Linked DNA regions of Drosophila melanogaster. The protein of the gene in region 4 interacts with the protein of the main gene of each other region in a pairwise test. Each region holds a gene or a part of one and is shown on either strand. Other genes may lie near its edges.

Evidence for each region.
Region 1: the proteins of CG12679 (region 4) and Pex3 interact in a two-hybrid assay, tested with the Drosophila melanogaster proteins (one large-scale study listed by BioGRID).
Region 2: the proteins of CG12679 (region 4) and fax interact in a two-hybrid assay, tested with the Drosophila melanogaster proteins (one large-scale study listed by BioGRID).
Region 3: the proteins of CG12679 (region 4) and Obp58d interact in a two-hybrid assay, tested with the Drosophila melanogaster proteins (one large-scale study listed by BioGRID).

What each region holds. Positions count from the first base shown.
Region 1 is NT_037436.4:15,141,269-15,149,206, reverse strand, and holds Pex3 (peroxin 3), read right to left. Parts: upstream 4,853-7,938; 5' UTR 4,658-4,852; intron 4,539-4,657; 5' UTR 4,426-4,538; coding exon 3,268-4,425; 3' UTR 2,828-3,267; downstream 1-2,827. Other genes in the region: CG32147 (uncharacterized protein), read left to right, coding at 5,198-5,410, 5,497-5,958; Pdi (protein disulfide isomerase), read left to right, coding at 6,754-6,907.
Region 2 is NT_037436.4:16,406,886-16,415,371, forward strand, and holds the start of fax (failed axon connections), read right to left. Parts: upstream 4,944-8,486; 5' UTR 4,534-4,943; coding exon 4,117-4,533; intron 1,565-4,116; exon of another isoform or gene 1,452-1,564; coding exon of another isoform or gene 1,443-1,451; intron 1,279-1,442; exon of another isoform or gene 1,222-1,278; intron 475-1,221; coding exon 136-474; intron 1-135. Other genes in the region: Serinc (serine incorporator), read left to right, coding at 5,960-5,995, 6,363-6,918, 6,984-7,093, 7,153-7,336, 7,399-7,608, 7,918-8,071, 8,117-8,270. UniProt on the Drosophila melanogaster protein: Together with Abl, involved in embryonic axonal development.
Region 3 is NT_033778.4:22,703,285-22,709,842, forward strand, and holds Obp58d (Odorant-binding protein 58d), read left to right. Parts: upstream 1-3,649; 5' UTR 3,650-3,663; coding exon 3,664-3,792; intron 3,793-3,848; coding exon 3,849-3,977; intron 3,978-4,031; coding exon 4,032-4,430; 3' UTR 4,431-4,488; downstream 4,489-6,558. Other genes in the region: CG30259 (uncharacterized protein), read right to left, coding at 135-358, 651-903, 974-1,114; Obp59a (Odorant-binding protein 59a), read left to right, coding at 1-122; Obp58b (Odorant-binding protein 58b), read left to right, coding at 1,426-1,473, 1,657-2,008, 2,073-2,284; Obp58c (Odorant-binding protein 58c), read right to left, coding at 2,661-2,869, 2,930-3,278, 3,335-3,376; CG30275 (uncharacterized protein), read left to right, coding at 4,540-4,808, 4,868-5,182, 5,399-5,692, 5,747-5,854, 5,914-6,041, 6,095-6,375, 6,431-6,558.
Region 4 is NC_004354.4:20,373,248-20,380,135, forward strand, and holds CG12679 (uncharacterized protein), read right to left. Parts: upstream 3,276-6,888; 5' UTR 3,146-3,275; coding exon 2,573-3,145; 3' UTR 2,517-2,572; downstream 1-2,516.

The DNA.
Region 1 (7,938 bases), on a different chromosome or scaffold from region 4:
CATGCAAAGGAATCTATAGCCCGAAGTAATGAAAACACCTCACATTATCCATAGCAATAGTACTAGTAGAGTATTATACGAGTTTTCTTATTCACGTTTCACTTTACCCGGTTGATTATACCGCAGTTTTGGGTTCTTTGAAAATCTCCAAACAGTTTACTATCCGCATTCGAAGTTCAAACCGATTCAATTTGCTATGTGCTTATGCATAAACGGTTCGCTGTAAACTAAACCATTTTCCCCGGCTTTTCCACTATTCGATATTTCACTCTATGCTTCTTATCAGTTGAGTTCATGGGAAATGCAAATACTGCGAATTAGTAAATATAGTAATGTGTTGATTTTTTCTGGTACCTCCCGCTAATTGAATAATATTTTATTTGATCACAGATAATAATAATATTTAAAATATATTTATTGCTCAATAAAATTGACTAATAATAATATTAAAACTGCTCTAGAGTATACACCATTTCAATTTCATAATTTCATTCCATGCAATCTAAGGCTCCTAACTAACCAATTTACCTGAATTCTAAAAAACGTCCTTTGTATGCCAAGTAATTGCCTTCCACGGAAAACCCATGACGCACTTTTCTTTAGCTTGAGTCGTGTCCTGCTTTCGCTTCCTTAATTTATGTGTTTATATTTAGTTAGGTGCTGTGGCCCCTTGTCACATGGCACTTGATCTACGCCCTTAGTATGTCAATATGCCTATATATACTGTGCAATATAGGACCCCAAGCACCCTAAAGGGGAGGAATGTGGTAAAAAGGTGATGGGTGCAGGGGTTGCCTGACTTGCATGCATTGTTTTCCTCGAATTTCCCACACGGACTTTGGCTGGGGAAAATGTCATTTCTTTGTTATCTTCACGCTGACGCACTTGACTTTCTTGGCTACAAGTTAATACTCTTTGTTGAAGGACATGTTATGATTTGCTGTACTATGCTTTGATATACCCAATATTTGTTTGAATCCGAAATATATATACATACATATATATAAATTGGTTATTTCTTTAAAATTTTTCCAATCTTATTAATGCTTTCTGCATTTGTTCAACATTTTTCGACGAATAGCGTATTTTCTGATTTTTCAAGATGGATAGACATAAGTGATTGGATTAAGAAAGCCAATTAAATTTGTCAAGAAATAAAAAATAAGAAAAATTGTAATTCGTTTTCGAACCTTTTTTAATTTTATTAGATGTGCATATATACTTTTAACCTTTATTAAAACCTATGCCAGTTGGAAAACTTTTATTTGATCCTTAAGATTTTGAAAAAGCTTTTTGATCCTTTGATTTCATTTAATTAAATTTTTTAGATTTAAAGCCTATACCAAATTCGATACTGTCATGACTTTTTTAAGGGTACTTTGTAGTGCCTTACCATTATTTCTTGAGCACTCGTTTCGAGGAGCTGCCTTTGAGTAGTATTTGATTGTTTCTTCGCAATTAGTTAGTTTGCTCACTTGTGGCCCTGCTAATAATAAAGTGTTGATATTTTTAGACCTTATAAGAGTGGTATTCCCGTTACTGCCGTTACTGCCTTTCCCCCACACCACCGCCTTTGCAGCCCCCTCCCACACCACTGTACGCACGCACTGTCTGTCCCGTTACCAATATACCGCTGTGTCTGTCTTTTTCGCTCACATGTGCTCATGTGGCCTTTTGATTTTCATGTTCAGTTTTCTCTTTGTCTTAATCAATATATTTTGTGGTCGGCTAGTAAAAAGTTGATGGGCTAAGTGGGCTTTTAGCCCCATCGACTGGTTAATAAACATTTTGCAAGTGCACTTACACAATTGAGCCGCCGTTGTTGTTGTTTGTTTGTTTGACGGTGGGCTTTCCTCCTTTAGCTGGCTTTTCCAATTTGTGTACTTTTTGCAGTATTTCTCATATTTGCACACTCGGTTTTAACTTGGCTTCGAATCAGTTATTCAATGCATTTCTTTCATTTTTGTATATTTAATTATTTTTTTTACACCAACACATACGCAAAGTCTCGCAGGGATGTATAAAAGTAACTGTTGTCCTTTGCCTTTTCACGTAACTTTTGCAACTGCGCCCAAAATGGAAATTTTGTACCAGACAGCTGGGCACCCGAAGGAGTAAGAGAGACGGATGTGAAGAGAGAGTCCTGCGAGAGCGAACAAGTCGCAGAGGGGCGAGCGTGATGTAAATGTATCTAATTACTTTCACCTCCTTAAGCATAAACTTGGTTCAATTTATGAAATCTTTTAAGTTACTTTCTGCTTGATAGTTATTCATAATTGTTATATTATAATGAATCTTCGCACATGCGGCATTTCTGCGCAAGTGCTTGAAGAGAGTGAACAAGGGAGAGAGCGGCAAGAACAAGAGAAATGGCAAACAAACAAAAGCCACAGACACAGCTGTCTTATCACAGGGCGGTTTTCTGCCACCCCCTTTTGACTGATAGCAAAGACAACCGTTACTTGTGGGTTGTGTCTTCGATAATTCAATTCTTATATTTTTATACATATTAAGCATTTATAACAAGAGAGAATGCTATAGTCGAGTTCCCCGATTATCAGATAACCGTTGCTCCGTTACTAAATTAATATATTATGTACATTTAAAACCGCAAACTGTTAGAAACTTGGAGGAAAAAGTATATAAGAATCTCGTATATCTCCGACATAATTATTGAATTTATTTCTTATTAATTCAATACAAGTATGCACCTATGTACGCATGTATAATTTATCATTCTATAAATCAATATCTGTTTTAATTAGCTGTAAGAATAAAAAGAATAAGTTCCTTCAAAAACTTTAATATGCAAAATAATAGTCTTTAAATACGGGGAATGCATAGTTTATTAGGTTGCCATTTGTTTACACTTCCTTTAAGATTAAGACCCAAGCTTTCTAGCATGGTATAAATAAATAATCTGTCACTTATCATTCTATTAATCAATTACACTTTAAATTACATTTTCATATAGTTTGGATACTAAACTACCCTCAGGTCCATCCTATATGATTCTCTCATATGTTGCATTTCCTAACTTTCCATTTAGATTAAAAGGCCTTCACGTTACTCGATTTGTGTCCCTGCCCTGAAAGGATTCCCCGTGGACGAAGCTAAACCTAATACGGGTTGGGTTCAAGCAGACATACAAACAATGCTTCTGAGAATACAGATCTTATTAAAAATATACAAGTATATAAACTATAATTTTCCAATTGTCTTAGCCTAGCCTATGCACGGATGCATAATCCAAGTTTTGTTGATCCTCTAAGCGGAGCTAAAGCTTTCGTAGACGTTGGCCCCCAGCGTCTTTGTCTTCTCGGCGACCACGTAGAAGGTTAGCAGTTGGGTGGGCAGATTGTGGGGTCGCGAAGTGGTATCGAAGCCTCTCGAGGTGAGACCACTGATGATAGGAATGAGCTTTGCCAACGCCAACAGCACTCGGTTGATGTTCAGCAAGTTATTGTTCTCCAGACCGTTTTGGCTCTTCGAGGTGCTGGCGCCTAAGCTTCCTGCCTGGTTAAACTTGACGCTCTGTTCTTGCTGCGTTTGGACTTTAGCTTGTGGCAGATGCTGCAAAGTTTCGCCCATGCTTTCGGCGATGGCATCGCAGGCCAGCACAAAACCACGGCTTACATTGTGCGAGCACACGCCAACGGCATCCTCGCTCTCCAACAGATCCAGCGTCTCGTTGACCATCTTTTGCAGCAGCGGCGAATGACTGGGATTCTGGCTGGGCAGCAGATACTTGCTCATTCGCGAGTTGGGATCCCGACGAGTGTCCGCATTGATGGCCATTTGCAGTGACCAAAACAGTTGCTCCAGGTCGCTAAGGGAAAGCTGTTCGGAGAGCGGTATGGTCTTGGTGACTGCGATGACCTGGGTGCGAATGTAACGGGCTAAGTCCCGGATGCCCGAATCCGTGATAAAGTGTCGGATGAGGGAGAGATACTGCTGCTTTAGCTCGTCGGTGACTTGTTTTTGTTCCGTCATGATGTCCCGATAGATGTAGCCACCGAGAAGATTTAGCTGGACCCTCAACGCAATAACCAGCATGGAGGAGGCGTAGACATAGGTTGCCAGTCTTGTGAATGCCACAATTTTCATGTCCTCCCAAAGTTCCAACTTGTTCTTGGGATTCTGGCGCAGCTGCTCGAGCAGCTCGTCCGTGCTGCACTCCCTCAGAACCGCTTGGCACATCTCCTCGCCCATGCCTAGGATCACCTGGTTACACGTCTTCTCCGTCGACTCAAAGTGGGTCGTGCGCCGCGTTCTCTCGAAGAATTCCCTGGCCTGTTTCTCCTGGAACTCCACGAATCGCCGTTGTGCATAACGTGCCGCAAAGATGGTACCGCCCACCAGAACGCCGGTCACTATGAACTTTCGCCGGTGGCGTGACAAGAAGTCCTGCAGGCGCGACAGCATGTTAACGATTGGAAAAGGCCTCTTCTGCCGGATGGACAACTAGAATCCGCTTCCTGTGTGAAATAGGCCAACTGCTGTTCAGATATCCCACTTTTTCCCGCTCCACCGGCGACCTGTTCGAGGTTAATAAATAGTTAATGTGCAAAGTTCACCTGTGTGCGTAGGGTGGTGCGCTGCCGGCGTCGCTGCCAACAGAGGAGCGTCCTCCACTCATCCGCAGCGATTAGATTACCAGGTAGTGCTCACCTATATACCCCTGCTCGGAAACTCGGATCTGGTGCGCCGCCTTATCGGGTCGATTGCTGGCCTTTGGATCGGATCTAGCTCTGGAATGTATGGAATGGATTTATCCTTTGTTGTTGTCGCTAAATGTGTTATTTCTCTGTTTGGTGCCGCATACTGCGTCGTCTGTTTCCGTTCAAGAAAAATCCCAAAAGTGCGAGGTTCGGGAATACCGAAAAATACCATTTCGTTTAGTATATTTGGTGTTACTGTTTAAATTTTTATTGAAAATGGGGATGCTTTTTAGTTATTTATTTTTTCGTTATTTCGAAGTGGGTTCAAAAAAAAATAGAAAATATAAAATAATGTTAATTCACCTATAAATGACGAAAAATAAAAAACTTCGATATGCTCCAATTTCCACCGTTCCGCCATCGTCGCAAACATTTGAAACGCATGATTCAAAGGGTGAAGAAGAAGATAGAAATCATATGGTATTTAAGATAGTTCTGTTGTTGGTGGGGGGTTTAGTTTAGTTGGGGTGTTTGTTATGGCGTCGTCAGATCGAAAGCTCATTGTAGTCTCCGGATTTGGTCCATTTCTCGGTCACGAAGCGGTCAACGCCAGCTGGGAAGCTGTGAAACTGCTGCCGGAAATCCTAACTCACGATGGCATAGAATATGATCTGGAAAAGCGGTTGGTTTCGGTGGAATACGGGGCTGTGGACGAGGCGGTGGCGGAGATTTGGAAACGCCAGCCATATGTAAGCATCGCAATTGAACCATAAATAGATAGAGGCCTTATGATATCATCTTTCTCCCAAAAAAATAAAAAACAAAAAAAAAACAGCTTGTTATCCATGTCGGTGTTTCGGGCGTTGCCAAGTGTGTATACATCGAGAAGCTGGCGTACAATCACAAGTTCCGCCGAGCTGATAATTGTGATAAAAAACTGGCCAACGGCACTTGCGAACTACCCAACAATGGACATGCAAATGTCTTGAAGACCGAATTAGATGTGGATAAGATTGTGGCGGTTGTAAATGAGAATTGCGCCGATTGTGTGGGACCCACACAACAGCCGACACATAATGATAATCTCAAATCCCTGAGCGCCACAAAGGCATCCAAAAATGTGGGTGACTTTCTCTGCGGCTATATCTATCTGAAATCGCTCGATATGGACAGAAAACGAAGCCTGTTTGTCCATGTACCTCCTGTAGATAGGCCATTTAGTAGTGTTAAGACTTCGGAAATACTTTTTAGCATAGTCGAACAATGCATTCAACAGGTGGTCGCTTTTGACTCCTGAATTCCGCAAAATATTCTTCCAATATCTGTCTTTTTAAGAATTATTTACATGTGTGCTGTTAAGTTGTTTAAGAAATGAGTTTTATTCTTTTTAAGATACAATATTTTATATTTACTTTTTATTACAATGAAACAGAGAAGCAATACAACTGCATTAATAATTACACAGTCTTTTTTGCGTTTACACAACACCAGTCTTTATTTTAAAAAGGGTAAATGACATAAAGAGAATGACGTAAGTTATTTAAAATAAAATTTAATAAAAAAAATGAATTAAAAAGAAGAATTATAAGGCCTTTACAAATTGCCTTATGTTAAATACAAGTTAACTTATATACAATACAATACGATACTATTTATATCACAATATTTTAAAATTATGGTATTCGAAAAAACCGTAATATTTAAAAAAAAAATAGTACATTACTGAATTAGTTAAATATAAAAATAAAACTTCAAATATATAAACGAGATCCTAAACTAAAAAAATTTACCTTCGACGATTGCCAACCTTTGGGCACCCAAGCGCCACCTACAGTTCAATGCTCATTCATTGACAAATATCGATATTAGTAAAATTTATCGGAAACTTGTAGAGAAATACCAAAAATCCCTCACCTAATTCAGCTTTATATGTATATATCTCTGCGTTTCACTGTCACTTGAATTCATTTGAATTTCTACTTGCAACCGGGCAAGTTCAGCGCAGTTCGAATCCCAGTTTTGGTTGGCGAGTGTGCTGCACCCACATAGGGCAATAGATTCAATAAATATCAAACGACGACGAGTGCCCGCAATGAAATTCCTGATCTGTGCACTTTTCTTGGCGGCGTCCTACGTGGCCGCTTCCGCCGAGGCGGAGGTCAAAGTTGAGGAGGGTGTTCTGGTGGCGACGGTGGACAACTTCAAGCAGCTGATTGCCGACAACGAGTTCGTGCTGGTCGAGTTCTGTAAGTACATGCTTAGATCGAAAATAAGGCACGAAAATCTCAACAAAATGTGGCAAAAATCGAATATCAAAATGCGAAATGCGCCGGCCGCTAGCGCGCTCTCACTCGCACCCGCTGATTCATGCGGCTTAGCGGCTACGTGGTCTTTCAAAGCGTCGGAGAAAATCTGTCTGCGTGGCAGTTGTTGTTGACTTGAAATCTGGACTATCATGTTGCACGGCAAATCCTAGTTGATCAATGGGCCAACTGACAGACTAGTTCCAATCGGCGGCCTGGAAAATTTGTTTAGTTGATTTTCCAGCAAATTTATCGTTTGTTTAACTGTTTTTATCTCTCTCGCGTCATCTTGTGTTTTTTTTGTGACGGGCAGGGAGGAGCGCGCTCTCTCAAACGCAAGTGCCATCTCTTTTCCGCACCTGTGCACGCAAGCGAGAAGGCCTTATAGCCTTATACTGCAGTACTACTTGTTATTGTTGTCGCCATAAACCTGCTATAATTTTGTATTCTTGCAAATACTAAATGCCAAAGGAAACAATAAGTTGTGCGCAGCATATGCTTTGCGTTTTATCGACATTTCTAGTTATTGTTCTAACACTGCGCCCGTGGGGCGTGGCCACAGCATATCACACATCCGCTTCAATAATCTCCGACTGAGAATATCTAATGGAAACAAAAGGCAACAAAAAGTTGTCGGGCAACTCATCTCTTCTCCTCCCACGAATCTAGGTTAGCCTGAGCAAACCAAACCACTTTTTATTCGCCATTTGCTTTCTCTGGTTCGTTCTGTTTGGATTTTTTGGTTCTAATTCTCACTTACAATCTGGTTTCTGTCCCTTTTTCCACGGCGGCGCAACGGCCATACATTGGAAAGTTCATTCAACTCTTTCTCTGCGTCTTTGCGCGTGCCTAACGGTGTTGCGTCGCCAGTGATGCTCGGCACGAGCAACAGATTAGTGTGCATGGTAATTAGCTAGAAAATAGCCAGAACTGGGAAAGAGGTGTAATTATATACTGCTGTAAAATGATTTAAA
Region 2 (8,486 bases), on a different chromosome or scaffold from region 4:
AATTACGATAATGACCAAAAGTATGCAATGTTCCAATGAAAATTCTAATCATAACCATACAAATTCGGGGAAAGTGAAGATCGTGGACCACGATCATGACCTATGTATGTTAAATATCACAAACTATCCAGTTACCTTGCGACCAAAGGTGATCTTAAAGAAGAAGTTCAGAATCGAGTTGGGCAGCCGCAGGCCGAGGGCGTGCTGCAAGTTGACCTTGTAGCCCTTGAGCACATTGTCCGGATACTTGGCGCGCCAGTAGAAGATGATCCAGATGAGATGGTTCTCCAGCATGGCAATCGTGGCGTACGAGACATTCCTTTGCTCGGCGGTGAGTCCCGAGTCCAGGTACTTCTCGTATTTGGACGACAGTTCCTTGATGATGATGGCCGAATCGGCGATTTCCTCCCCATTCAGCTCGATGAACGGCAGCTGACCCTTCTTGGAGCGGAAACGCATCTTATGATCGACATTCTGCAAAGGCCGGAAAGAGAATACATGTTCATTTTATATCTTGTTGCGTGGGATGACTAATTGTGCGAGGAATGTGGGGGAGTGGGTGATTGTTTACCCCACCCTTTTATCTGCGGGCAGCATGCCACTCATGCAGTGAGAACAAATATTGCCTTAGTTGGTCATTAAATTGGCAATCGTATTTCACAAGAGTTCATTTTCAAAGCATGGCCATCATTTTGGATACACACAAGTACAATCAATTTGGGGAAGTTTTAGTCACTATTTTATGTTACTGTTACTGTTTTAATTAAGTTTTGAGCAATTGAGTTTATGTTCTATTGTTTTCATCTTGTAGACATAATTTTCATGGGCATAGAGGGATTATAGGAAATTATTATTTGCTATAGTTATCGTAGTAAATGTTCTGCTGTAACCCAGATTCTAAAGATACTCATAAATTGTAAATGTCCATATGGAACCAGGAAGGAATTTTTTTATTTGTACGCCCATGACTAATGCAAAATGTAGTTCACTCCCCCGCAAGGATTCCGGCCGCTAGATGGCGCTCATGACATACATCTAGCCGGCAATCGTTTGTTTGCGTGTGTATTTGGGCATTTCCTATGTATGCCAAGCAGATGCTGATGAACCAACCACTACACGAGAAGCTAGCTGTACCTCCCGGGAACCCAAAAACCCAAAACCCGGACTCGAAAACCGAAAAACCCACCCAAAAACCAACACCCCTATACAACGCACACTCACACACACGCCGCACAGCGGGAGGGAAAACGTCGTTCCAATTGCCTGCTATTCGAACATTTTGACATATTCCAATGCCTTCCAGTGTGTACACACGTCCGCACGAAGCGTTACCGTTAGCAATGTGACAGTTATAGGCGGCGGGTGTCCGGTCTGAACCTTTTCATTTTCAGCTTGGCTGCACAAATCTACATAATAATTTCTAATTAGAAATATGTACATACGAGGGCCATAACAAAGAGCCAACCGTTGGCATATTTTATGCTTTCGCGCCCTCTGCCAAAAAAGGGAGAGGCAGGGTGTGGTTGTCCGCCAGAGCCGAGAGAGAATCGGCGAGAGAGTGAAAGGAAAGAGAGGGCGCTGTTGTTGTAGAGAGATTTTCGCCTTCCAGCATCGCAACGCAACGCTCTGCAAAAAGGGTGGAGTCCATTTTTCAATTCCAATGATCCACAAAAAAGGCAGCCTGTCTGCCAGCTTCCTCTTCTCCATCTCCATCTCCGGCTCCGTCTCCATCCTCTTCTCGTGCCCACGCACAATGCAAATACTTATGTTTTATTAAATCGTTATGCCACTTAAGGCAATCGCTCGTCTCCTCAATCTTTGTTCTTTCATTTTTTTCGCAGTGTAAGAGTCAGCAGCAGCAGAAGAAGAAGCAACAGCAATGCAATTATGCAGCCTGCGTGTGCGAGTGTGAGTGTATCCACACCCTTGCACAGAAGTTCCAGAGAGAGAGAGCGAGAGCGGGAGAATTGCACTGGAGCGAGTGAGCAACAACAAAGGCCGTCCACTGTGTGTTGTTTAAATGCAAATATGCGGTTTATTAATTAAAACAAAGGCAGCTATAAAACGTAAAAAATACAAAAACGAGAAGCAAAAAAACTCCATTTCCTCCCAACATACACACACACGCACACATGGACATACGATACGCACACATTCGCACATGTACAGTTGCAGCAGGAGAGGCAGCAGCGTTGCCAGAATACCTTGAAATTGCAGCCCGGCAATATTGCACAAATGCAATGGCGCGCCAGCATTTCCATTTGAATTTTAATCGCTCTGTGCCCGCAATGCATATGGCAGAGAAAATGTAAATTAATTGCACAATCTACGAGCGCGACACTCAGGAATGCTAGCAATGCGGGCCACCGCCTCAAAAGCGAAACTTATGCCCAGTTGTTGTTGTTGTTGCTGCTGTGCTTATTAATGGGCGCCGCCTTCAATGTGGTGTGAAAAAAATATGCATTCGGTTTATCATCAATAAAGAAACAACTTCTGCTCTTGTTTACACTGACGAATGTGTGTACACAAAGGAGGAGAGCAGGCAAGAAATGCAGCCGAGCGCAAGCAGCAGGGGGGAAAACTGGCTTAGTCAGTTGCATTTACAGTCAGTCACCCTCCCTTTTTTTCCATGATTAATGCCGCGCTGCAGCAACAACAAACCATGCCAGAAATGTCAAAGGTCCCCAGTTTGTTGAACTCTTTTTTTTACCCACCCCCCACTCCCTCCTTCCTACTAATCGAATGCCGCCGTATTTTGGGCAGCCTGCGCCTTATCAGTGGAATTGGGAATAATCGTGAAAATGGAAAGTAATTTCCAGCTGCGGGCCGAAAAGCGGCCACTGACGGACTGTCAATCATAATTGCTTCGTGGAATGCAACATATGGGGGCGATTGCTTATCGGCATCTGGAAGGCGACGGCATCAATTAACATTCCGCGCAAGGGGCTCGTTTTTCATTAACCAATGTAATTAATAAGATTAAACAGCAATTGCGTCGCCAGTTTTTGTGCGGGTGACCGCACCCATTTCTCCCCCGGCCACTACCACATACTACACGCTTTTCCTCTCGCACAGAAAAAATATGAAAAATATGCAAACCGCATCGCGCGCTTTAAAAAGTGAAGGAAAAAACAACAAGCCAAAATGGAAGGCACCATTGGAAGTCGTTGACAGTTGTTTGTCTGCCACTCCCCCCACCCAGCCCCCAACACTATTACAGCTACTTAACGGATAAGAAAAGAAAGGGAAAAGGAGAAGGGGAGTTGGAAGGCGAAGAGGGAGACAGCTATTTCTGAGTCCAGCTTAAACTGCATCAATTTTTATTAAAAGCAATTACAAGCTGCTGCTGCTGCTCCTGCTAAAGTATACAGAGAGAAAATTTGCTGTTGTGTGGATGGAGTGAGAGCACAGTTGCATGGATCTCGAAGATGCTAAGAAAAGATGCATGCAGCGCATAGAGATGACAACTTTTCGTGCAGTGCAAAAAGAAGTCGAAAGAAAAGTGAAATAAAAAAAAAACAGTGCAGCAACAAAAGACAAAGAGCAGACGGCGAGAGAGGGAGCGAGACAAAAGGAGAGAGTCGGCAAGTGCAAAATTTGAAGCACGACTTTTGCAAAGGGGAGCACAAAGAGATGAAGGGGTGAGGGGCGGCGTCGGCGCACACACAAATTTTATGTATACGCTGTGCACACACACACGCGCAAAGGACCAGGCTACAGGTTCACACACACAGGCATGGGCGCTGGGAGAGAGAGGGAAGGCGGCACAAATGTATCCCTTTTCAGTTACGGGGCAGGGCAGGTCACACACACACATGCACACGGGCAGGCTTAGCAGCACACCATGATGGCGGCGCTGGCTCTCTTCCCCGAGCTCTCTCGCTCTCTCCCGCAGGAGCTGGGAAAAAATCTGTACCGCAAAAATGCCTTGAAAATCTGGGATTTCTGGAATATCTGAGAGTTTTCGGCTCTTCCTGGGATTCTACCTAGTCCGTTTTTGGGTTTTCCCTAATTATCCTGGGTACTTTGAAGGATGCCAAATGATGGCTCGATTTATAATGAGGTTTTCATGAATTTTCTATGGTTTTTTTCCCCGGATTTATGACCACCACTCACCTCGTATTTCAGGCCCACAAGACGCAGCCAGGTCTCCACCTTCAGGCAGTAGGGCGACAGGGAGGGCAGCAGTGGGGTGCGCGAGAACTGGTACAGATAGATGATGTCCTTCTCGAAGTTGGTCTTGTGCACATTGAATTTCTGGGCGGGCGGGGCTTCCGATTTGGTCGCCACGGGTGCTGCCACCGCCTCGTCCTTTTTGGGCTCCTCGCCATCCTGCTGCTTGTCCTGCTTTCCGGCCTCGCCGTCCTTCTTCTCGCCATCGGCATCCTCAGCCTTCTCCACTGCGGGGGCGGCAGCTGGAGCGGCCGCTGAGTCCGCTGGCGGGGCCGCTGACTTTTCCGGCTCCTCTGATTTTTCCGCCGCCGCCACTGCGGGCGTTTCCTCGGCGGGTATTTGGGCCACTTCGCTTGCCATTTCGATTTGTTGCTTTTGTTTTTTTTTTTTGTTTTTCTTTACTTTTCGATCCGCTTTTCTTTTTGTTAGCTACTCTTGCTTTTCGCTAATTGAAGTTGCGCTTTCTTTCAGCTAAAAAGATTTCGGCTTCGCACTTTTCCTGCCACTCGCACACATACACACACGCGAGAGAGAGGGAGAGCTAGAGAGCGAGAGAGAAACCACCACTGCGATTCGTTTCGTTTCGAACTCGGATTCGGGTTTCGGGTTTCAGCTGCACGATAGGATATCTTGGCTGGATGCGATTCGCTTTCGGATTCGGATGGATTCAGGAGCCGCTGTCTCGACACCGCCGCAACCGCTCTCGGGAGTTTGAAAATTTGAAATGAGCGGATTCGCGTTGCGAAGGCGAGCTAGCGTTGCAGGCAGTGTGGCCAGATGCCGCGTGCGAACGTATTCTCGAATGCAATCGGCCGAGTGCAGATGCACTAAAAATAACCCACTTCCAGTGACTGGAAATTAAGATCAAGGAATAGATTTTATAAAAACTTATATGAGTAAAAATTTTAAAATTGTGGAGTCAACCTAAATTATAAGCAACTAATTTATAACACAAGTAAAGAATGATATTAAGTAACTTTTTAAATAATATTCCATTATGCTTACGCTCAATTTATGAACAAATGTTTTCTCGATCCTTAGGTAAAGTTTCGAGTTTCGCGACTAGATTTATTAAAATTAAGAACATCTCCATTTATGTACACATTTAAAGATTTATGAGCGGTAATATTAGCTGGTTGACTGAACAGATACCCTTTTAAAACTACTATCAATAGAACCTTTTTCTGTATTACCTATTTCGACTCTATCAATAACTGTTACAATAGTTAAGTTAATTCAAAATATAATATTAGTTTATGATTTAATTCACAAAAATTGATCTGAACTTTCTCTCTCATTCAGCTTTCAATAATGTTTTATGTTTATTTATAACGTTTGTTAGTTTATTTTAGGAGACAAACTATTTTGTTTTGAGAAACTGCAAAGCGCCATCTGGGAGGGAGTGGCAGAAGTTTTGAAATTTGAATAGGGAACGGATGGCACCTCCCGACTTTTGCAGAAATCAGCATGGCAACTGTGGAAGTACAGAAAATTGCAGTAATTTACTTCAATTTTAAAACTATAAATTTTAAAATTTGAAACATATTGAAAAATTTAAGACATTGAAAGAGCATTTTTAAAATGCAAATATGCGAAAGAATTGATCCCATTTACTTTTAAATTTACAACTGCTTACGATTGCTGAAAAATATCGCCAGCCGCTGTATTCGATAGTCACTATAGGCAGTAAATAGTCCATCTCTATCATTTTCACAAACAAAGATTTGTTTAATTTAATAAAAACGCAGTTTGACTAAAGTAAAAATCTAAGTTTATTGCTGCAACAATGGGAGCTGCTTTGGGCATCTGTTCAGCCGCTCAGGTAAGAAAATTGCGAGCTAATTAGCCAGGTAAAATTCTTTACATTGGCTACAAATCAATAAAAGCAGACATATGTTTCAAATGCGGAGAAATTCAACATTTTATTAATTTCACAATACTCATGAATGCTGCTATGATTTTCATCTAAAAGAAAGATTTAGCTTGCAATTTGAGCTATTAGATACTTTAATGAATTTTTAAATTTTTAATAAGTTGAAAACAATATGAAAAATGTATTGCAAACTTAACTTTCGATGGTTGATCATTCAATTAATCCGGATTATTGACAAAACTTATTAGCAAGTTGGATCAAATAGAATAATTCTTCAATTGCGTCTCCATTTAATACTTAATTCTTGCATTTCCAGTGCGCCATGTGCTGTGGAGGCACTGCAGCCAGCATGTGCTGCTCCGCCTGCCCGAGCTGCACCAACGCCTCCTCATCGCGCTTCATGTACGCCTTCATCCTCCTGGTGGGCACCGTACTGGGGGCGATTGCGCTGTCCCCTGGACTGCAGGACACCCTGAAGAAGATGCCCTTCTGCATCAACTCCACCTCGTCGTATAGCTCGGGAGCACTCAGCGCTGTCTCGGGAGGATCTCTGCAAGTCGACTGCGAGTATGCACTTGGTTACATGGCAGTATATAGGGTTTGCTTTGGCATGGCCTGCTTTTTCGCTCTGATGTCACTGATTATGCTGGGTGTGAAGAGCTCCAGGGATCCGCGTTCGCACATCCAGAACAACTTTTGGCCACTGAAATTTCTGATCTGCTTTGGCGCTGCGATTGGAGCCATCTTTATTCCGGATGGATCCTTTGGTCCGGCCATGATGTGGGTGGGTCTAATTGGTGGCCTGGCCTTCATACTCGTCCAGCTGGTCATCATTGTGGATTTCGCTCACTCGCTGGCTGAAAACTGGATAGGTGAGTCATGTTCCGGCCCATCTCCCAAATGATTCAACTCGCTAATTATCGAATTCTTTCAACAGAAAGCGCCGAAAACAGTCGTGGATACTACTATGCCCTCGCTGGGGTCACTCTTTTGTGCTATATCTTATCGCTGACTGGAATTACCTTGCTTTATATCTACTTCACCACCGTGAGTGTCGTTTCTATGGCTTATTTACTTTGTAATTAGCATTGTTTTTATATTTGTAGAGTACTGGCTGCGGCATCAACAAGTTCTTCATCTCCATCAATCTCATATTCTGTCTGGCGATTAGCGTCATTTCGATTCTGCCAGCTGTGCAGGAACGCTTGCCCCATTCTGGCCTACTGCAGAGCTCCCTGGTTACCTTGTACACGGTGTATCTAACCTGGTCGGCAGTGGCCAACAATCCTGGTAGGAAAATGAATCCAGAACCCTATATGTGTATATCTCATTTGGTTGTTTTGAATCAACAGAGAAAGAATGCAATCCAGGCATGTTTGGCATGATGGAGGGATTCGGCAATGCAACCACCACGGCAGCACCGCCCACCCACACCACCAGGGTCACCTTCGATACGACCAACATCATCGGACTGGTCGTCTGGTTGCTGTGCATCCTGTACAATTGCATTAGCTCGGCGGTGGAGGTATCCAAGATCTCGCACGATAATAGCGAGAAGCGTGGTAAGTGTTCTGTTTCCATTCGCCGTGCTCCGTTCGCATTCCCAGCGATTACCACATTTCCACAGTTTGCATCACGCATTCATTCGATCGCTTTGCCCTCACTTTTCATTTTCCTCGCTGTACAAAAAAGAAAAACCCAAGCTAATACTGGTTATTAACACTCGTTTGCTATTGCCGCTTTGTTTATTCTTTATTTTCTTTTCCGACTAACCCAACTAATCCCCACTTGGTTATTTGGTACTCGAAACTGTGTGAAAAATATGGCCAACTGGCGTTCCTCTTGCACTCTGATTAATGTAGTTTTAACAGAAGCTCTATCAGACACAGAGGCGGGCACGGATGGCAGCGGAAAGCCGAGCACCGACACCGAGACCGAAGGCGTCACCTACTCCTGGTCCATGTTCCACTTGGTCTTCGTCTGCGCCTCGCTCTATGTCATGATGACCCTGACCAACTGGTACAAGTGAGTAGCAACAGCACTTATCGTGCTAGGAAAATATAATCCCAGCAATTTTTTATTCCCACAGACCTCATTCGGAAATCGAGCTGTTCAACGGCAACGAGGCTTCCATGTGGGTCAAGATCGTCTCCAGTTGGCTGGGTGTCTTCATCTATGGCTGGAGCCTTGCAGCGCCCATTGTTCTTACCAATCGCGACTTTAGCTAAGCGATTTTAGTATATTAACGTCTAGGAATGGTGCTTAAACGAGCAAAACGAGAATGCCAAAACGGAACGCGGAGAGGAAATAGTATCCGAAACTGATGCAGATTAACCATACACAATTTTGACTCTACATGTGGTGTCTACTCATTGATCTTATTCTCAAATTGCAAAAGTTATCAATATATAAATTAATCTATTATATATACATACAAATA
Region 3 (6,558 bases), on a different chromosome or scaffold from region 4:
GCAACGGAAGGGGCCGGCACCACAAGTGTTCAGCGGCCCGGGAACTGGTCAAGTGCATGTCGGAGTACGCGAAGGCGCAGTGCGAGGATTGGGAGGAGCACGGCAACATGCTCTTCAATTAGGATTAAACTCACCCCACTTTTTAGGTCCTCGCAGCGGTCCAAGAAACGCTCGTGGTTGTCCCGGATCCCGCCATCGGTGTTCTCCTCCAGCTGATAGAAGACGCACTCCAGTTGCTGCTGCTTCTGGGCATGCATCTCCTTGAACGCGGCGGAGTCCTGCTCCCACTGGCTCAGCACCGCCTGCTTGTCGTCCTCGTAGATCGTCCGAAAGAACTCGATGCGATCTCTATGGGTATCTGGGTAAAGGATAAGAAATAAATGGGTTAGAAATGAGGCCTAGTTGCGTTGAATGGTTTGTGTCCATTTTAATTTTCATTTTACAATGCTTCTTATTGTTCATAAAATGTACATCAAAATACTCCAGTAATTTTTGGATTTCCAAATATTTCAATGTTCTTATTAACGAAAGCATTAATATACATGTGAAATCCATTCCATTCATTTTAAGTATCTTTAAACATATTGCTGTAGCTGTGTATTTAGTTTCTGATTAAAATGTTATTTTTAAGGATGTTATCCCAATCGTACCAACTATCCTGGTGATATTCTCCATGTGTGACTGCTGCAGATTGGCGTACATATCCTCGGTGGATTCTATGTGAGCAATGAGGCGATGGATCACCTGGTCCTTGCGCTTAAGTGCCTCCTGAAAGAAAGACTCCACATCGACGATTTCGCGGCGCAGCTCCTGGATTTTCACCTGGCGCAAAATGCTCCGCCACTCCTGGTTGATTTTAGCCATATTGAGTCGACCAAAAGCATCCTCTCTTTTCAGTTTGTTCTATTTTAATGGGAAAAGTCATACCATAGGGATTTTGATTTTGATTTACTGCAAATTCGTGGTGTGTTACCTTCATGTACATGGAAATGAGCTGCATTTTCCGCCGCCTCGTCTCTTCCTCCATGTCGGCCCTCATTTGCAAATACCTGGCCCGCTCCTCCTCGGACATGTTGGCCAATTTGTTGCCTTTTCCTTTACCCTTTTTGCCCATGATTTAGTTTTTTTTTTTTACGGCTACCAAAAATCAGCTTATCAAATTTCAAAGGCCAATCTCTGACTAATTAGGCGAGCAAAGAGCCGCCTTGGAAAATAAATAATAAATTGACTGCCGGCGTTGCCATGACAAGATTCACTAGCCCACCCACTCCATATAATTTCGCTTTTCGTCGCCAGGTTTGTTGCCATAATAATGGATGCGAATTAAATTAATGCGAAACAGTGGAAAACGCCATTAGGGCTGTCCATCAAAGGGGAACCATTTGACATATAAAACTGAGGACGAACCGCTGGAAAGCTGTCATCATGCTGAGAATTGGTTTCGTGATTTGTGTGATTATATCACTGCGCTTGGTACGTACTCATAACACCGTTTTCAATTTGTTCTGGATTGGATAATGTTCGAGGGTGTTTTTAATGGATTATCCACACTAGATCGGATTTATTGTACATAATAATTTTGAAAGTTCAAGGTCCATCGGGGATCCGTATTCGAGCTACTTTTTAATCCTTTAATATGTGCATATTTCTATGCAGAATGGACTCGTGGCTGTCCGAGTTCATTGCCGGCACATGGAGCGTATTCACGAGGAGAACATCCACCATTGCTGCAAACATCAGGATGGCCACGACGATGTCACGGAATCTTGCGCCAAGCAGACCAACTTTCGTTTGCCCAGTCCCAATGAGGAGGCCATCGTGGATGTGACCGTGGACCAGGCGATGGTTGGAACCTGCTGGGCCAAGTGCGTCTTCGATCACTACAATCTGATGGAGAACAACACACTGGATATGGACAAGGTGCGCTCGTACTACAAGCGGTACCATCAAACAGATCCGGAGTACGCGACTGAAATGCTGAATGCCTACGAAAAATGTCACACACAATGTGAGCTCATGCAAAATAACCATCAACATAGTTTAAAATTGAATTTTTCCATTCCAAATTTTAGCTGAAGAGGCCACCGAAAAGTTCCTATCACTTCCAATTGTTAGGGCCTTCTCCACCGCCAAGTTCTGTAAGCCGACCTCGAGTATCATCATGTCCTGCGTCATCTACAACTTCTTCCACAATTGTCCAGCGAGTCGCTGGTCAAATACCACCGAGTGCGTGGAAACCTTGGCCTTTGCTAGGAAGTGCAAGGATGTGCTGACTACTATGTAAGCACTTTAGAGTCCTGCCTCAGGAAATACATTTTAATTGGGAAAACGAAATGATTTTCCAATGATTAAAGCAAAACAATGGCTCTCAATTCATGTGCTCTTTTGGTTTATAAGTAATGGTGGGTGATTGAATGCCAACTCAGCAATACATTTAATTAAATGGATTTATTGTTATCAAATCACTTGCAAAAATACGATATTAACTAATGTCAAGTTGATCGTATTTGTTTACCATTACATCCCTATAAAAAAAAAAACATCCAAATATACAGAATAATTCTGAATGCATAACATTTTTTCATCTAAACAAAATAATTCGAATGTCGTAAATCGTAAATTTAATGTTCTTTATTGCAGAAGAATGATATTCTCATTATTCACAAAGTAGCCAGCGAGTCCTGGCACTTCTTGCTGAAGGCCAGGGTATCCTCGCACTCCTTGGTCTTCGACCAGCGATCCGCCGGGCAGTTGTGGAAGAACTGGCGGATGACACAGGCCAGGACGACACTAGACTTCGGATCGCAGAATTGCTTGGACATTTGCTTGAAGAGGGGCTTCGACAGGAACATGGAGGTATTCTCTTCGCCTTTTGGTGAAAAAAATATCAGTTAGCCAAGAAGTTCTTGCTGAAATAACAACTCTGTACTTTTGCCGTGACAATGATCAAAGGCGTTGATCATTTCCTTGGCATATTCCGGATCGTCGGGAAACCTTTCAGTGAACAAACTTCTCACGGCATCCATGTCCAGGTTGTTGTCCTTCATCAGGTTCAGTTTGCTAAAGACGCATTTGCCAAAACAAGTGCCTCGGATGGCTCGGTCCGCCGTGATGTCCACCAGTGCCTCCTCGTTTTGATTGGGCAGCGTAAAATTGGTCTCCCTGGCACATCCTTCGATTAGATCATTGTGTCCATCGGGATGCTTGCAGCAATAGTGGATGTGGTCCTCGTTAATGGCCTCCGTATTCTCGCAATCAATTTTAATTCCACCAGCAAACTAAGTCATGTATTTGAATATATATAAACAGTGTGAATTTCATTCCTCGAACTCACCCAAATCAGGCTGAAAAAACTCAATAAAATGGTGCACTTCATTGCTCCGCCGTTTATACCAAAATCAGCCCACTACGACAGCTTATATAGTCACCCACATATCGTTTAAATAAAAACAGGAAACCGCTGCCAATTTGCCAAATGTCGAGCCATCAGACTGTCTGCAAATGTTTCTTTATCCGCTCATTTAATTCCAGTCATTACAATGGACATTTGTTACATTTAATTAAGCAATCCAATTTGGGTTTAAATTCATTTATCCAAAATGATGAGCACGCATGGTTTTATAAATGTTATGACCATGGTAAATTAATCACATTCGAAAAGCAATGGTCAACATTGTTTGTTATTGGACGTTCCTAATTCTGGTGGCCGTTTCAAAGGCTCAGGATAATGAGGAAACTACTGCAGTTGCCATATCTTCAGGTGACTTGACTGAGGATAAGTGTAACACATCGGTGAGCTTACTTTAAAACCGAACAGCAAACGTATTAAGTCTAAAAATTCAATTTAGAGGGCTGGCTGCTGTTCTGAACTTTATATAGGAGAAGAGGAGGACCTGGTCAAGTGCTTCGTTATACACTCACCCAAGTTGCCAGTGGATGGGGACGCTGACATCGGCAAGACACTGAGGTTTCTATCGGTAGGTAATTAAAGCTTTATATATCTATTATAACGAAAATATTTGTATCTTCAGTGCTTTGTGGAGTGCCTGTACAAGCAAAAGAAGTACATTGGTAAGAGCGACACCATCAACATGAAGATGGTCAAGCTGGATGCAGAAAAGACATTTGTGGATCGGCCCAAGGAGAAGGATTATCACATTGCCATGTTCGAGTTCTGTCGCAAGGATGCTGTTGGGGTCTACAACCTTTTAAAGGCCAGTCCTGGGGCTAAGGTGCTCCTGAAAGGAGCCTGTCGCCCCTATCTATTGATGGTATTCATGTGCATCAGTGACTATCATCAGAAGCACGAGTGTCCCTACTTCCGGTGGGAGGGCACTGCCAAGGCAGGAACTAAGGATATGTGCGAAAATGCCAAAGCCGAATGCTACCAAATAGATGGAATTACACTGCCCACAAAGAGTCCTGCCTAAGAATACGTATTAAAAAAACTCAAAAATGTCATGTAATAAAATTAAGCTTATAAACGCAGTATGTTTTTTAGTTTTAATCACACACCACACACATAAATTATTCGCACTGATGAATCAGTTTCAGATTCGCTTGGCTCAAGCGGGAGACCAGGATGGGCTCAACAAGCTGATTCGATCGCCAGGTGTCAAGTGGTTCGGCAATATCCGTCCGAAATTTCGTGGCAAGGACTCCCTGTTCAATTCCTATCAGACCTACAGGATATTGGCTTTTTGCACTGAATCCTCCGCATTGGTGGCCTATGCCGAGTTCCGTAACTATCCCTCCATTGCCGCTTTGCCCACGGATTGCTGGTTGGAATGGTTGTCCACCAGATACTGGTACTGATACAAGGACTTAAAACGTTGAATATATCATCTATTTCCGATATATCCTTTAGCCTATCCATGTCCATTAGCTGGCTGAATGCGTTGTTTTTCAACTTTTGCGTCTACAAGAGCGATCAGTCCCCGGTTCTGGTTGAGATCATAAAGGATGTGCTCTACAGGGAGAGCAGGGTGTGGTTTCTGATCACTGTTAGGTGTCCGTATGTGCCACAACCCATCCACTTTGTGGAAACCTTCGATGATTTGGAAAAAATATCCCAGGTCTTTTACCCGCTGGAATATAGCATGGATAAGAATAACAACACACAGTCCCTGTACATTGTGGATAGGTTCGTAATTCTGCCGAGGATTACTTACCGGAAGGCACTGTAAGCTCTGTTCTTTGTGCTCCTTGTTCAAATTGTATACTATATCAGAAATAGCATTTGAAATTTTAAATTCAAATGCCTCTTAAAAAGCAGCAGACTACTAATCAGTTTGTCTGAAATCGATATCGCCTACTAAGATATTGTTAGATATTGTTAGGCATTTGAAGAAACTGTTTCAATAACATTCTTGTTTTGTTTTAAATATTTCCCATGAAGGGCCGAAGATAACGACGATATTATAGCAATGCAAGAGGTCGAGAACCCAGAAATGCGAGAGGAGCTGGGCGACTACTACATTGCCGAGGAGGTAATGGGACAGAATCCGAAGAGTATGCTTGTTGTGGCCGAAACAATCAATCAGTCGCAGGAGTCAGAAATGGCCATCTTTCTGTGGCTGTCCTCGGATATAGACATTATGTTCTATGTGCGCAACTACGAGATGGAACAATTTGGCAATCTGGTGAAGCCAGCGGATGGAAGGTCCTTCCACTACGAGACGATGACGGTGTCGTAAGTGATGGCTTTACGTGCGGAAAGAGTAATTCCTTACCGACTGTCCTGCAGATCGGTACAGCGAAGAGCGGAGGCTAGCATGTTCACCGCAGATGCCCTCGACGATCTGAATGCGGTGACGATTCTGGGAGGACTGCAAAAGGTTGACAGCGGTATGAGGTGTGATTATTTATTAATTTGTAAGGCAAATATCCACAATGATTTATATTTCTCAACAGCGTGGCCAGCCTGGGTAAGATGAAGGTCAGCTCCATTGGCGGCACAATTGTGGATACAAATGTGGCGAATGAAAATAAGTTCTACATGCGCGAATGTCTGTACTCCAAGTTCAAGTACATTCTTGAGAGTGAGTTGTACTGCGAATGCCGGATGCTCCGTTCATAACATGGGTTTATCTAGAACTCCACAGCACCGATTACTATCTGCGGCACGAACAAAGCGTGATTAATTTTATATATCCGGCCGGAACGGAGCCCGCAGGTCCGGCGGCCATGGCGGCGGCATCAAACGTTTTCCTTCTCAGGTGCATTGTGGCACGACAGGATTTCCCACTGCCACGCCTCTTCAACGCAATGGTGGCCATTTTCAGCGCCTATCCGGACAGGGATTACTGCATGATGCTGATGTCGGTGAAGTACAAGGCGAGCAAGAGCTATCTGGAGGTGATGCAGTACTTTATGGTAGGCCAGACTTAGTTTAAGTCAACGAAATAGTTTAAAATAGTTCATACACCAGCCAGTCGCATCACGGCCAAGTAATCTGTCCAGCCTGGACGATGTATTCATAACACATCGCAGCACCATCTTTGGGGAGATTAGTCTGTACAAACTGGAAAAGGAGGACGTGGCACATGTGCACAAGTT
Region 4 (6,888 bases):
ATTATTCGTCATGATATAAATATTGTGGCCACGACCCTTCAGACGCCCACAACCCGATCAAGACTTGAAATTTCTCGTTGATTTACTAGCTAAGAAAAAAAGGTAGTCTTGAAAATAGCGCTCTTACTTTTATCTCTTTCCTAAAATTGGTTCCCCTTAAATCATAGATATCACACTCCAAATTTGACACCCAAATTTACTGTAAAAATCTGTAAACTTTAAATTAATTTTAAAACAAGATAGCCATGTTTTTTTTAATTGAACCCATTTCAACCCCAAGAAAGTAAGACCCTTTTCCAAAAATATATATGAACAAAACAATCAGGAGAAACGCTATATAAGATAAGAGAAGATATAGATATAGATAGATACGATATAAGATATATAAGATAAGATATATAAGACCGCCAAAAGAATCTGCTTGTCTAGCTTTTAAAGTTCACGAGATACGGACATGGCAAGATCGGAGCCGCTTCCTTCTACCTACATACTAATTAATGGAGAGACGGCTAGAATCGAGTGTCGCGACTATTAGATACCCTTTGCTCACATAGTTAAGCGCTATATGGCCTTGCATATTTTTGACAATTGGCTTTGACCCGTTTCGATTATATTTATTTCTCATCTAGAACCCCAACCGGAAGTACCACATTGATAGCACAACTGATCATCAAGATGCTGATCAACGCAGCCCGTTCCACTTCCCCAAACATAATCCCGAAAGAGTGGGAGCCTCAATTCCCCCATAGATCCAATATGGTCAATCAGTCAACCCAGACTAAGTGTGCGCCATGGAATATGGTGAATGAGTCTACCCAGTGATGCCAACATTCAAGTTCGCCTGATCGGAACGCTGAAAGGACTAGAGCGTCCTTTAGACAAGAGATGACAGGAAGTAATGGCCCTTCCTCGGGACCTCTTATTGGACCAAGACACATCACATTCCGCTCAAGATGACAAAAGGGAAAGCCTTAACCTATCTATAAAGGAACCGACTGCATATTAGCATTGGCCACATTGTGGCGATGCGATGGACTACATTTAGGATACCCAATCGAAATAAAAAGGGATATGTAGAAAAAAAACTTTCATATTCAGAAAAATGTCTTTTTTATTGGAAAGCTGATTGTTTGTATGCCAACCAAAATAGGCAGAATAATGAATAAGTCATATACCCGTCACTCGTAATATATATGCGTAATTTTAACCATTAAAAACTGAAGGGACACCATTGTAATTGCAGAAGCAAAATCTGTTCTGTTACACATTCAGGCATCATCATACCTTAACTCGCCGATATGTATGTACATATATATTATTTACTGCCTAACGTTCTTCAGACAAATGGTTATGCAAAGCGAAGATATTTGGGTATGTTTTGTGGACGCAAGCTTAAAGTGGCACCCGCATTTCTTACCTTGCACCTACCCCACTCCCTTTGCGACCCACGCGGCGTATGAGGAATGCGAAATTGCTCATACCGCCCGTGGTCCCGCATCTGAGCAACTGGGTGACAGTTGATTTGCCTGTCGGCAATGGCAGTTTGGAGCCCAGAGTCCGGAGTCCGGAGTCCGTCGTCCGGAGCACTACAGGCGGCACTGCGGGCACTGCAATTACGGCGACTGGAGATTTTTCTAAGAAAACCGCACAAGGCGACGACGGCGACTGTGGCGCCAGCATTCCAAAGTAAATTACAAACAAAAATGTTGCAACGAAAACGAAAACGGAATCGCACGCGGGCCCCAAAAGCGGAAACCACAACAGCCAACAAAAATGTAAACAAGGGCGCAGAGTCGTTGAGGGGAATTTCTTCGTTCTTCATTCTGTGGCGGAAAAAACAAAGATCCAAAAGAAAAGGGCAGAAAAAAATCAAATTGAAAATGAAATGCAGGAGTGTGGCGGTTCAAGAGCTTTGGCGGCCAAGCGACTGACGTCGTCTCTCAGTCTTTCAGTCCTCCAGTCGCCAAGGAGTGAACATCCATCCACCACCAGCACCGCCCCAAGGAAGCGGGCCACACCACCCCGCTTCCGTGGCCTTGCCTTGCCTTGCCTTGCTTATGCAATTTGGTATGTGTTTCCCAAGAAACCTTTGTTGCATTATTGCCGCAATTTGCTGAAGTGGTGACGTGAGAGCCATCACAGTGCTGCGTCCACGAATATTGCCCCGTCCCTTTCCTTCTCTGCCCTCCTGAGTCCCTCGTCCTGAGACCCCAGTCCTTCGTCCCTCGTCCGTCGTCCGTCGTCCTTCGGCCCTTGAACCGCGTCTTTTTCGCGCTGCCCCTTCAGCCAGACAGCGAACAAATAACAACTAAGTTGGCAATTTGAAGTCGCGCGAGTGAGTGAGGCTAGTTAGCCGCAGCACACCGAAGTCTGTATACCCTTGACATGGTTTATGGCTTATATAGTAGTGCTATATTGCTTATTCCTTTCTCATTGTAGATTTGTAATTCATATCCCCAAACTACAAATCCCTAGTGCCTTGTATTCAATGATAGTTGGCTCAACCAATTTCAAATGCTGATTCATCATCTTGGCTTTATTTCGCGAACCGATCAAATTTAAGTTTTAGCAATTAGCCCTCAGTGAGTGCGTAGGTCATAAGGGCCAGGATGCCGGTGTTTCCCAGAGTCTCTACAACGTTGCTAAGGCCCTCGTTGCAGCTATCGACAATTGCACCGCCGTATCTGGCGAGGAGCGCGGTGGCAGCCACACCGAAGTAGATATGGTTGCCGTCCTTGATGGCCAGATACAACGTGGAGCCGATGTTGCCCAACAGAGCGAGGTCCATCAGCGTCTCCGTGGAGCTGTCCCAGTCCTCGCTGATCTTGCCGATCATGTCGTAGAACAGTGGAATCAACGACAGGCCGTGCACCAGCGCCACTCCCGACTGATCGGATACCAGGTAGAACTCGATGTTCGCCAGTGGCAGCGGGATAACCTCCAGTATGATGGCTGAGATCATAAAGGTGCGTCCGCACTCGTCGGGCTCGTTGGCAAAGGAGCGAACCACGCCCAGCACTCCGTGGACCAGGCTGAAGGATGCCGCCAGGAAGGCATACGGATGGTCCGCCGGGGTCAGTGAGGTCATCGTGTAAATGCAGGCCAAGATCAGCAGCAGATTGACCAGTGCCCCCACCACATGCATTTTCGGCGCTTCTCTTCGTTCCTTCGAGAATTCTATCGATTCTGTCAGTCTGGTATCACGATATGCGATTTCACTTATTTGTTACGAACACAGGAACTAAAAATTTTGAAAGTTGCTACCTTGAGACTGGGGTCTGGAATGACTGAATCCAAATGACTCCCACTGGCAGAACATTGAAGACCGAGTCCAGGCCAACTCTGTTTAATCGATTTATCAACTCAGTTTTGCTAGATAAATGTTTTGAGATTTAAAATGGCCATATCATAAGCAATACACAAATGTATCGGGTTCTCGTTCTTATTCAAATACTTATACCTTTTACCTTTTACGACATACAACATGAGAATTAAAATGGCTACAAGGACTAACAATCCTCATTATGAAGTATGCTTGCATACCCTTCCTTCGTTGCAATCATTCGTTGTCTAATCCAAACCCACTTCAAATCCCGAAGTTCCTGAACCAAATATAACCAATAACCAAGCCAGTGCAGCCAGTATGCCAAGGGGACAAAGGCTGCTCATCGCCAAAGTGGCTAACGTTGGCCACCTCAGATTACGACCAGGGATGGATGTCGGCAGGGTCACTGAGTCACTCCCGGCTGAGTGGTTAGGGAGGCAGCATCAGAACATCGATCACAACACCTGAACGAACGCAGTATATAAATAACCAATCTGGATTTTGATCCGCACAAAGGACGGGAGTGGTAACCCCCAAAATCCCGAGCGCCCTTTTCGGGGCTCCAACGCTTCAATAAAACTGCAAAGTGCCAATTACAAAAATAACAAGTTAGCCCCAAAACTTATGTTGGCTTTCCGACTTGCCGTTGTTTCTTTTGCTTTTTTCCTTTATTTGCCCCGATGCATTATTAAGTTTATACCAAGAAATTTCCCGCACTGCATTGGACGTGTGTGTGTGGTTGTGTGTGTGTGAGAGAGAGTGGCATTTAGCTGGCAAGGACATTTTCATGGTTTTCCAGTCAGAGAACTGCAAGGGTGGCACTTTTTTACCACTCGACTCACACCCTACAATTTTGTGTGCGGGTGCTACTCGCCACGCACATCGCGGGTACTTACAAACACACAGTATAAATCTGAACATGCAGACAAGACACCCCGTTGTGTGCGCACCCGAATCAATACGGTGTTTTGCGTCGCGGGTGCCGCTCACACAGTGCCTAAAAAGGGATGAGTGAGAAAAACACTTGTGGGTATACCGTTAAACACATGGGTGTTTCCAAAAATACTCGGGTGTTTCCAAAAATACTCGAGTGGTCTCGTAGGTAGTCGAGTCAAATGGCGCCATACATAATGATTGTTGAGTTCTTGTGTCTTTGGTCCAGTGTCTCGGCTGTTAATTGCCCCTTTTTTGTTTTTTACGATGCAATTACTAGCTTGTTAGGATTCAGTATTATTTGGAAGCCAAAGGAAAAGGTCACAATAATGGCAGAAGCGGCTGATTTCGTTAAAAATAAAATTAACAATGGAACATACTCAGTTGCCAATAAACATAAAGGAAAAAGTGTTATTTGGAGCATTTTATGTGACATTTTAAAGGAAGATGAAACTGTTCTGGACGGATGGCTGTTCTGCAGGCAATGCCAGAAAGTGCTCAAATTTTTACACAAAAACACCTCCAATTTATCCCGCCATAAATGTTGTCTAACATTAAGACGACCAACGGAATTAAAAATTGTTTCGGAAAACGACAAGAAAGTAGCTATTGAAAAATGCACCCAATGGGTTGTCCAAGATTGTCGGCCGTTTTCTGCAGTAACCGGAGCCGGATTTAAAAATTTGGTGAAGTTTTTCCTACAAATCGGCGCTATCTATGGGGAACAGGTAGACGTCGATGACTTACTACCTGATCCAACAACATTAAGTCCTTATATTTAATAGATACTTTTTAAGCCCACTATGTTTTTATTATTTAGATTGAGACATTAAAAAACGTAAAAATCAACAAATGCCGTCTTTAATTGCAATTACTTTATGTGTTTGAAATGGGAGGCACCCATTGAGTCCATCAAAGAGCAAAGACATGAGCACAAAAATTTTCTTGGGTATTCCCTTTTACCCTTCATTTCTTATACCCGTCACGCTTCCACCCATACAAATTTTAGGCGTACAAAAAATGACCAGAGAACTGCAGCCCGCATACAAAAAATGACCTGCGGCCGATCGTTGACTGTGCGTCCACTCACCCATACGGCTCTTGCGCAGCAGGCCTCGGGTGGTTTTTTTACTCGTAACAAAAACACAACGTCGGTAAAACACTCGAGTATTTTGTGTTGCCGCAAGTAGGGTGTCAAAAAAAACGGGGTGCCTAGAGTACCGAGTGTTTATCGGGTGGACGTAGAGTGCGAGTGGCGGGCTGCAGTTCTCTGTTTCCAGTTCCGTTTCGACAGCAACTTTTTCGTAGCATACTTTTGCCGGCGCATTGATTGGCCCCGAGCATTCGTTGGACTGGCAGCAGGAGTCAACTAGCAGCTAACTTGATCCATCTGCAGGCCTCCAGCCAAAGTGCAGGATAGTACTGAATGGATAGTCCTGAATGGATAGTCCTGAATGGATGGTCCTGGATGGTCCTGGGTGCTCCTTGGGTGGTCAACTCAAATTGACTGCAGCTGGGTCCACAACACGAAGAACTTTTGCCATCGCACCCCAAAAACAATGCCGACCAGTGCCAACTTGTATTGCCGGTGGTTTAAGTTCGGGGGTTCGGGTTTTGGTGTTCTAGGGTTGGGATTAGGAAAAGGGGTAGGGAGAAATATTGACGGGGCCAAACTGTGGCATGACCAACGAAAATAATATGAAATAAATTCCAATAGAGCAGCCGAAGAAGAATGAGAAGTTGAGTGGGCTCGAGCCGGGGCCAATTGGGGATTGGGATTGGCCGAGATGAGTGGCTGGACAGGACCTGGAGCAACTGAGCTGGGGGGGTGTGTGGTGGTGTGGAGGCTTTTGGGGTTAGGCTTTAAGAGCGGACTGCAAAAGGACCGGCGAACAACAAATCCGTACAAATTGAATAAGAACTCAATCTTTGCTACTGTGCGAACAACTTTCTTGGGCGGCCAGCAGGACGAAGAGTCCTGTGAACAAGGCGGAATGATAAAAAAACACAAGCACACACCCAAGATGCGGAAAAACAGAAAGTACAAACGCAGTAGTGGAAATGGTTCGCCATGGAGGCAACTCTCTCCGGACTCAGGAATACTCCCTATTGATGTTGTCCTGATGTAAGTCAAATTCATATTGTTGTCGGATTTTAAATATGCCTTAAAAAATACCTTTAAAAGAACTTTATACATTACATGCAAAAATATACCCTCTTTAAGCGTTATTCGAATTGAAAATCACGAAAGACTTATTTCTTTAGACTTGACACAAGGCAATTGAACACGGCCGAAAAGTGCACAATTGATGGGTATTAAAGGGAATTGAATTGAAATTCCTTGGCAATTGTTTGTGTATCATTATGGTCATCATCAGTGCCCACGACTTTGTACTGAGTGTGTTTGATTGTGCCCGCTGTTATTATTATGGCTATCGATGCTCCCCGATGGATGGATGGGCTTGGCTTTAAAGCCGAGCCAACTTCGTATCGCCGGCACGTAGCCATAACCTAACTCAAGATCGGACTGCTTTAAGGTCGCGGGCTTGGGTGATTTCGGCATGGGTTCGGGCGGATTCAGGTGGCTTTCTAGGTGGGTATGGAGCCAGCACCCATCGATTGATTTAGCA